2 linked regions of the Drosophila melanogaster genome follow. The protein of the gene in region 2 interacts with the protein of the main gene of each other region in a pairwise test. Each region holds a gene or a part of one and is shown on either strand. Other genes may lie near its edges.

Region 1 (4,106 bases), on a different chromosome or scaffold from region 2:
ATGGTCACAAGAGGCCATAGTGGCTGTGGTCATGAGGGCGATGGCCAGGCAAATGGCCTCACCCTTGGTGGTGCAAATGACGATCTCCTGATCGATTTCAATGCCATCCTCGTAGCGCAGGACACCGGGCAATGTAATCTTGGCACCATAGCAAACGGCGTTGACCTGGAGAAAGATTGATGGTTGTTAGTTGATATCATAAGGGGGTCCTTTGCTAGAGGAAATGTCGACCGAATATTCTTTGTCGAGCGCGCAGGATAAGAGCGCTGCCCAACATACACACATCAGCAGCTTTGCTGTTCCCAATCATAGTCACAGGTGCCCGTGGGGATTGCAGGCACCTGCCGGCTTAATATCATGGGGTACTACTTCGCAAACGGCAACTGGATGTCAAACTTACCGAACTGTCCTTCATAATAATGCGCTTGTGGTTGACCAGCAGACCTTCTAGCGGCTTGATCACACGTCGCAGCATAGACTCGTCCTTGTGGTTTTCGTACAGCCACATGGCGTCCAAAACATCGTGCATGGTCACCATACCATCGCGCTCAGACTGAATGCCCGAGCGGACACGGCGGAGCTCCAGCATCTGGCCACCGACACCCAGTACGAGACCAAGATGGACGCACATGGTACGGATGTAGGAGCCGGCCTCGCAACTAACCCAAAAAACACCTGAGCACGTGAGTGGGCAGAATTGGAGGAGAGAAAAAGACGAGGTTTTAACAATTACATTGTGCATTTGCTGTGTTAGGCAAATACTGGTGTTTCACTGGCTGAAGCAGGCTGCACCTCTGCAGGATAAACTAATCCAGCAGCGACGCACCAACTCTGAGCGAGAATGGATAAACAAAACTTCTGACTTACCCATATTTCGGGTTTCATCGTAGTCCAACAGCTTGCTGTCGTAGACAGTACGAACGCGCAACTGACGCTTTACGGCGGAGATGAGTGGAGGTCTCTGGAAGAGGGCACCACGCAGCTTCTCCAGGCCCTGACGCACCTTGGCCACCGACTCCACGGCTCCGTGCAGCTTGAAGATGGCCACGTACTCCTTGCCGGCGCTCTGCTGGGACTTCACCAGACGGGTGGCCCTGTCAATACAAACAATCAGGCAACCTGTAGGAAAAAAAAACACGCGGCACACAATGAGGTTAGGTTTGTATGGCGGTAGGCGAGCACGCGCTTCACTTACCCGTGACTTTGGGATCCAGCGTGCCGGAGTGGCCTGTCTTCTCCACCTTGAGGATTTTCTTGATCCAGGCCACCACCTCGTGGGAGCTGGGGTTCGACGGCTTGTCCAGGTTGATGAAGCCAGTCTTCATGTACTCTTTGATGTCGCGGTTCAGGGGCGACGATCCGTGCGCCAGCGGAGTGTAGTGGTTGGAACGGATGTTCAACTTGTCGAAGTTCTTCAGGAGCAGCGGCCATTGCGAGGTGTCCAGCTCGGCGATCTTGGAGGAGGGCTTGATTTGGAAGTTGCCCTGCTTCTGCAGCGTGCCAATGTCATCGCCGTCCAAGGGCTCCTCCTTGATCTTCTTCTTTTTCTTCTCCTTGCGTACTTCTGCGGGCGCATAGTCCGTTTATTTGGGCACTCTTTTAATTCATCACTTGCCAGACTTACCCACGTCGGCCATTTTATCTACGTTTTCTGCTAAATCAACTAATAGACGGAGAGAAACCTCCGCACGTGTTGCGCGCTGCGAGAAAATGGACGAAAAACACGTGGAGTGCGCGGTCTATCGATAAGTGTGACTACACAGAAATGTATTTCATGAAGACATCGATACATAAATGGAAATCTTGCGATATGTCATCGTGAGCCGAATTCCTTATTACAATTTTGAATTAAAAATATGTATTATTCATAAACAAAATGAATTTAAAGGTATTTACTTTGACGTAAACATTTTTAATCCATTAAAGCATTATTTAATTGAAAAGATATGTTATGTAAAACTGATACACTGTTTATAGTACGGTGAAAATGTTATGTCCTTAGAATCCACTTGTTTTTGCGATGAAAAGTCATACTACCCTACTTTTTAACTGACGCGTGCAAGCTGATTGCATTTGGCGGGATTTTGAAAATCAGAAACTGCTGAGTAAAAAATATCGAAATATTGATAGTTCCAGGCCCAATCGATACTATCGCCAGTGATCTACCAGCTGTGTTTCCCAACCGGTTGTTTATTTTTCTAAACTCTTAAATTAAATTAAAGTAATGTCGAGGCGAGGACTCCTACTAATGGGCCAGTGCATGCCCTGCATCAAGCAGAACGCCTCCAAGATCCGCATTCGCCGAATGGAGCTGGACAAGAACCTGAATATGGTGTGCATAATATACATTAGATCTCGCCTCAGGAGATTTCACACAATTTCCCTTCTGCTCGCAGTACTTTAAGAAGGACGAGTTCTACTTCGCCCACGATCCGCAGAAGGTGTGCAAGACCGGGGACGTGGTCCTGATACGGGAACTGCCAGAGCGCCTCACCCGCCTCATCACGCACAACGTGGAAAAAGTGGTCTATCCGCTGGGTGACATAACGGACCCGCTCACTGGCAAGAAGGTGGTCGTGGGCAATTACCGCGAGGACATCGAGATGGCCAACCAGCTGTTCGGCAAGTCAGAGAAGGCCTTCGACTACGAGAAGGCACCGCCCCGCGGTCGCCTGGAGGGAACCAAGGACTTCACCCACGGGGAAACATACATCAAGTACCACGAGGATGGCAAGGATCAGCCGTTCGCCGTTTAGAGCTCTGCCGGTCGTTTATCTGTTAAGTTTCCCCTTTGTTTAATAGTAAAGTGCATTAATATGACGTACATATGTTTCTCGGTTTTCTTATAAAATGGTTAGGCCGACGAAAGAAGATATTTTTATAGGTTTTTGATTGCTTGAATTGAATTAAAAAGGCAGGTTTAAAAGATTTCTCTACATATTTTATTTTAATGGTCGATAGTTGTTTTTTTTTTTTTGCATTTATTGATGATTTGTTGTGTATACGTATAAATGTATGCATTTTCAACTTCCTCTCGCTGATCAACAGTTTTTGATTATTTAATTTTTGAATTTTCCTAATTCAAACGATTTTTCCGCGCCAGGTGCCAGGACACATCCGCAACACCGAAACGTGCTGCACACGCACATGGTTTTAGAGTTCAGATTCGGTCCGTGCCATAAATTAAGCTGAATACTAATCACAATCTCTTACGATCCTAAAGTTGTACTGGAGTATGGGGTTTGCCGGGTGAGCGTTGTCGTCGCACAGTTTTTGCTGCAACGAAAAGGAGGCTAGAGTCGCTGGATTTCGCGTTAATGCGTCCGGATAACGCACCTGCTCCAGGTCGTGGCTGGCGCGGAGCATAAACTCCCGTAGGAAGTAGCCGCGGGCGGGAAGATCCAGGGCCAGGCTCAGTTTGTTCTTGCCCTGCTGCTTGAGGATCTTCACCCCGCTGGTGGACTCGGCCTCGTCATCCTCGTTCAGCTGGCCGTTGGCACTCGGCTTGGCCTGATCCTCGTCGACGCAGATGGACCACTGCAGCGGCTTGTTGGAGCTGTTGGATATAGATGGTAATAAAATAAGTGATTGTAAAGAATTCATTAGGAGTCAATGGAACTTTGAATGGGTTCAAGGGCAGTATGATTTTGTATGTAAACACATACTGCATTTGTATCTTTAAGATACTTTAAGATCTTACCGAATTCGAATACATTTGTTACAGAATAATGAAATAAAGTGTACCCAACTAACCTCAGATGGAGCTCCAGACTACTGGCCTGCAGATAGCGCGATACCGGAACCACATAGCTGACATTGAGGGAACTGCCCGAGGTGGGACAGAACTGCTCCACGTCAATGGTGTGGTTGTACTGGGCCGCTAGGACGCAACTGGCCACACTCCAGCAATCCAGCTGGAAGGGCGGCAGCACGGACTCGTCGGCCTTCGGCCCCTGATCCTGCCCAGAGGCGGATTGCAGAAGGCGGTAGACGGGATCGTCCTTGGCTGCGACCACCGGTTCGGTCTGCTTCTTGGTCAGGGCGTCGGTGCCGTGTGAGCTCTTGCCCAGGAATCCCGGCTGGGCCTCCAGCGCGGCGGAGGTCTC
Region 2 (5,078 bases):
ACCGTCTCCAGCTGCCCCATCGGTACGTACAACCTGTTCAAAAAACCAGAAGTCACCGGAGGGGAGAACGTCGTCAGCTGCCCGTTTTCGATAATGGGCCAGGGGAGAATTCCCTGCAACTGGGTATGGGCAACTACCCCGTTTTCGTGTACAATGGAACCAGGGGAGAACTGATTCTCAACACCATGCTGAGCAGGAGGCGTTATCCCATGCAGGAACCAGTTCCAGGCCAAGTTCTCTATCCACCATCGACGCCCATGTTTCGTCCAAAACCGATTGTAGAGCGATTCCGCTTTCCAGGACAACGGGAGATCATGAACCTGACTTTAATTCCCTTTTATGCCCAAGAGGCCATCAATGATCCAGCCCTAACTAGCACATCCACTCAAGCACCCACCACTTCCACCACGCCCATGACATCACCCTACGAGACACAGCTGCCCAGAATTGAGGGAATGCTAACGCTGGGAAAGCGAAAGAGAAAGAAGGCCAAGCAATATGAGGCCTTTCATTCCCCTCAAGAAGTGATGCAATGGCAGACAGTCCTGCGACGATCCACTGGTCACAACGACAATCATCGTCATCACTCCAGCGAGGAAGTGGAGCCGGACGAGCAGAAGGAGTTGGGGGATCTAAGCGATGGTGTAGAGGAGGAGCTTGATGAACAAGACTGGCTAACAGCACATGAAGCCGAAACAGAGGTGGAACTACCTCCCGAGCCAACAGAAACGTCTACCGCCAGCAGCAGTGAGCCCTTCCAGATCGTCTACATCGATGAGAGTTTGGAACGACCAGCCGTCGATACTCTGAGTCCCACTACGCCGCCAACGCCATTGCGACAGAGCTCTCGGTATGCCCTGAAAAAGAAGTACTATGCATTTCCAGTGTATACCCTGGGTAAACTGCTCCAGCCACAAACACAGAATCCATCCAAGAATCTACTAGAGAAAAGTGATCGCTCGGCAAGAAGCTCCTTGGAAAGGGAGCCTAGTACCTGGTTTATACTAAATTCACGGTTAGTTGGTGCTCGCTGCTTCGTCTTAAATATTTAATTTATATATTTTTTACTTATTTTATCCCTCTTGAATTTCAGCTACAAGGGACCCTACCATCGGTCACATGGAACGGACAATCAGACCAAATACTACACATCCAAGTACATAGAGAACGGCTTCAGACCTCGGAGATAGCACAAATAATTATATGTTAATAACTAAAATTGATTAAGAATAGTTTTTGGGGTGACATTCTTTGTCCAAGAGATTACAGATCACAGTGCTCCGAGATGATCATTAATGCCTCTCTCCATAAATAAAGCCTTCAGAAAAAGTCATGAGACAATTTAGATTGTAATGCCTAGCTAGGTTGCCTTGTGGAACCGTTTTACGACCGATAAAGGGCAGTCATTCATGTTTGGGGTCAAAAGAGAACCCGAGCTCTGAAAAGGCGGTCGTAAATTGGAAAGTGAAGAATAGGGACCACTTTATTGAGCGATCTATAGTTGCATAACCCAACGTGCAAATCGGACGGGTGAGCTAAAGCCATCGCCTGACCCAAATTCCAGAGTCCAATACACGGAAAATCAGAAAGGAAAACAAAATTTGAATGTGTTAAAAAGCAAGGCAGGGCAAAGAAGAAAAGTCATCAACAAATGTTTACGGCCATTGGAATAGATGCGGCTCTTTCAAAAACGCAGCCCTCCTTTCCACGTCGGTGGATCCATCATTCATTCAATCACTTTATCAATGATGTGCCTCTCCCGGTTGTTCGCCCCGTCATTATTATTATAGATTTCCCAGCTTAGTTTTCGCTTTGCAGACTGCAATTAATTTTCTCGTTGTTCTACAAGGGGAACTATATATCCCACTCCGAACTTAGAGCTCCCCATTCCACCGTTTTCTTGGCTGGGGAAAAACCTGCTCGATGTCGGCGTTTCTGTTCTGACCAGCATTGCCATGGGCCACACAATCGATCCCAAGCGATTCCCCAATCTGTTTTGGGCTATAAAAGCTCGGACCGTCACTCTTTTTGGGCTTAGAACAAAGGCGACTGCGCACGCGAGTGGTTTATATAAGTTTGCTCAATTCTTCATAAATTTGTTCATTGCTTCCCAAGGATAAAGGGAAATTCCCTCAGAAAATCGTATTTTGGACATAGATATGAGGCTAAGTTTTGTGGTATGTGAAAAAAGGATTTACTTGCCTACATATAAAGAAAATTTTTTGGTTTAAAATTTTTTTTTTTTTTTTGTGATACAAGTGAATGTTATCGGTGATAAATGCAATAAAAAAAATTTTAAAAAATTTGCTCATGGTCAATTTTGAAAAAATAATTGTATGGACGAAGCTAGTACAATATATGTACATATGAATCTAAACAATTTGAGTAAATCTAATTTCGACTTTTGAACGAATATTGTTTTTTAATTGTAATACCTAGCCAATGGCATTTGTTAAGGAATTGAAAAACTCACCCATTCTCCTTTTCCCGCTAGATTACTCTTATCCTGACAGGTTCCCGACTGTCCAACGCTTTCTGGTGGCCAAAGACAACAACGTAAGTAAATTAAGCTGTATAACTGCTCAATTAAGTCTCACCTTCATCGTATCCATAGGGAAACCAGGGAGCCGAGTGGCGGCCAAATCCTCCAGCAAATTCCGCTCACCTATTTCCGCACATACACTTATCAGCCATTAGCTCCTGGGTTTTTTGGATTTGGAGCTGCTCAGACGCCTATGCTGCCTGGTGCTCAGTACGATCCATATGGGATGACCAGTTACGCTGCTGGCAGACGACATGACTCCGTTTCCAGGCAAGAAGTTACTGCTCCGACGGACTTGAGCAACGCGCCGAGTAGCTCTCGGACAACCAGCACCACTCCCGCGCCAACGACAACAACTACCACCACCACAACCACCACTCCGGCACCAACAACAAGACCTAGTACTACTACCACCAGTACAACCCCACCACCAGTACCACCTCCGCCCCAGTCCACCAGTAGTAGTTTCTCCGAAGGACCCACTTCTAGCTTGCTGCGCTTTGGTGAATATCCCGCGTACAATCGCCGGGTAAACAACCTCTATAACGCCAGGCCTCAGTATCCATATCCGGATTACTTCAACTATCAGCCGCAGCAGCAGACCGTAGTATCGGAGCAAGGGGTCTCCAGTAACAGTCGCATTCAATTTGTTCCCTGCATGTGCCCGGTCAGTATGCCCAGTTTCGTCTCATCCTCGACAGCGGCCACATTGCCTTCGCAGCTGTCCACTTCCTCCACATCGTTCGTGTCCCAGCCGGCGGCTCGTCACATCGAGGGACAGGAATTGGAAGCGGAAGTTGATGGCGAGACAGATAACGAGGGAGAGGAAGAGGACGAGGATGAGGAACAGGGGCAGGGGCAGGAACAGGATCAGGGCCAGAGCCAGAGTCACAGTCTGGAAGGCATTGCCATCAAGGCCCAGACAGAAAGACAGGATATAACTTCAGACAGTCCTGTCTAGTTCAATTGGATGGTGCAGCAACAGCCTTTCTGGTATAAAGCCAATCCACGACTGACTTGTCACTAAAGGGGTGCCCTAGAGATCTTAAAACAAATATTAAAAACAAATGAAAGAACGATTAAATATAATATTTAGTAAGAATGTCAATTCAGGGATACTCCAGCATATAAAAGTAAGCGTCTGCTGAAAGAATTTTTTTTCAATATTTAATAAATATAATAATAAAGAAATTATTAAATAAAAGTAGCCATAAATACCGAGAGCCTGCAAGAAAGTAAGTAATCTTAATTAGAGTACGGTATTACAAAAAAAATGCCGATAATGGGATTCCATTGATTTCATGTTCTTTTATTGATTCATATTCGGATGCTCGATCAATTACATTTACACATTTAAATTGTATTTATCAATATTTTAATACTTTGCGCTTGTTGCACGAATTTCAACTAGCAACGAGCGAAGATCCCTAAGCTCCACCTTTTTCATCTCCATAGTTCCTCCACATCAAACGTGCCTCCTCAATTAGTGGAGAACTATCCTTTAATCATCAATTCAACAATTACAAATACATTTACTTAACTAGATGAACTTGTGCTTTGAGTCTTTGAAGTTGAAATTAGCTTGCGATTTGGGGAAAACGCAGAAAGTTATCCACTCCGTTTTCATTTCAACGGTCGCCAAAGTGCCAAAGTGGTCTTAGCATAGTTAATGCATAGGTATTACAAAAAAGGAGTTAAGTATACAACTAATCAGGGGAAAATATATAATCAGTCGTTTAAGTTTTTAGATATACATGTATACATCGATATATAAATATAGTCATAAATATAAACCGCATTCAAATACAAACACGAGTACAATTATCTCTAAGCTTCGGGGATTAAACAATCGAAAATTACGATCTAGAGTATCAGGGCAAAGTCTCCCCGTAGAGACTGGCCCCCAACTAACAAAAAAAAAATGCATCTTACCTCTAGAAGATCGTACTTAATGCTAAATCTGCTACGCATGCGCTCTGAACGAATCGATTCTTCGATTGTTTGTGTGCTATGCAGCTTTTGAATGCTTGCATGTTTGCTCGTTTGTTTGTTTGTTTGCTTTGTGTTACTTTTGCTTGCGTTTGTGAACTTATGTGGTAGGGAAATTGCAATAATATGGCCTATCAATATTACCTAAGCCATCTTTCTTAGATATTCTTCTCATGCTCATGGCTATAGCCTTTCTTCGATGCCTTTCCAAAAAAATACACTTATCCTTTCTTATAAGAGAAAGACTTTCGTTTACTGCGTATGATTTCTTTCGCGTGTTTCATGAACTCGTTTTCTTCATTTCTTATTAGGCCACCGATTGCATCGGTGTTTTGTCCTTGTCTTCGTACTTGTAGATTTTCTAGATTTACTCGCACAAAAAACTAAACATAAAACATAACCTTTTGTCATTTTATATATAATGAGATTGCGCAGACGAAGCGCGTACGTCACTCACACTCACAGTCACTTAAAAGACCAGACTACCTGCCACGCGCTGAACACACTTGGAAATCATTGGAAAAACTTATTAGGGCACAAGGAAATC

The links. The genes of interacting proteins can lie anywhere in the genome.
Region 1: the proteins of CG13362 (region 2) and mRpS17 interact in a two-hybrid assay, tested with the Drosophila melanogaster proteins (one large-scale study listed by BioGRID).

What each region holds. Positions count from the first base shown.
Region 1 is NT_033778.4:24,172,486-24,176,591, reverse strand, and holds mRpS17 (mitochondrial ribosomal protein S17), read left to right. Parts: upstream 1-2,150; 5' UTR 2,151-2,224; coding exon 2,225-2,332; intron 2,333-2,396; coding exon 2,397-2,756; 3' UTR 2,757-2,927; downstream 2,928-4,106. Other genes in the region: Nop60B (nucleolar protein at 60B), read right to left, coding at 1-165, 401-675, 868-1,119, 1,196-1,564, 1,625-1,637; CG3328 (uncharacterized protein), read right to left, coding at 3,196-3,276, 3,337-3,556, 3,754-4,106.
Region 2 is NC_004354.4:748,251-753,328, reverse strand, and holds CG13362 (uncharacterized protein), read left to right. Parts: upstream 1-2,027; 5' UTR 2,028-2,159; coding exon 2,160-2,177; intron 2,178-2,473; exon of another isoform or gene 2,474-2,494; coding exon 2,495-2,556; intron 2,557-2,597; exon of another isoform or gene 2,598-2,614; coding exon 2,615-3,503; 3' UTR 3,504-4,088; downstream 4,089-5,078. Other genes in the region: CG13361 (uncharacterized protein), read left to right, coding at 1-1,015, 1,094-1,190.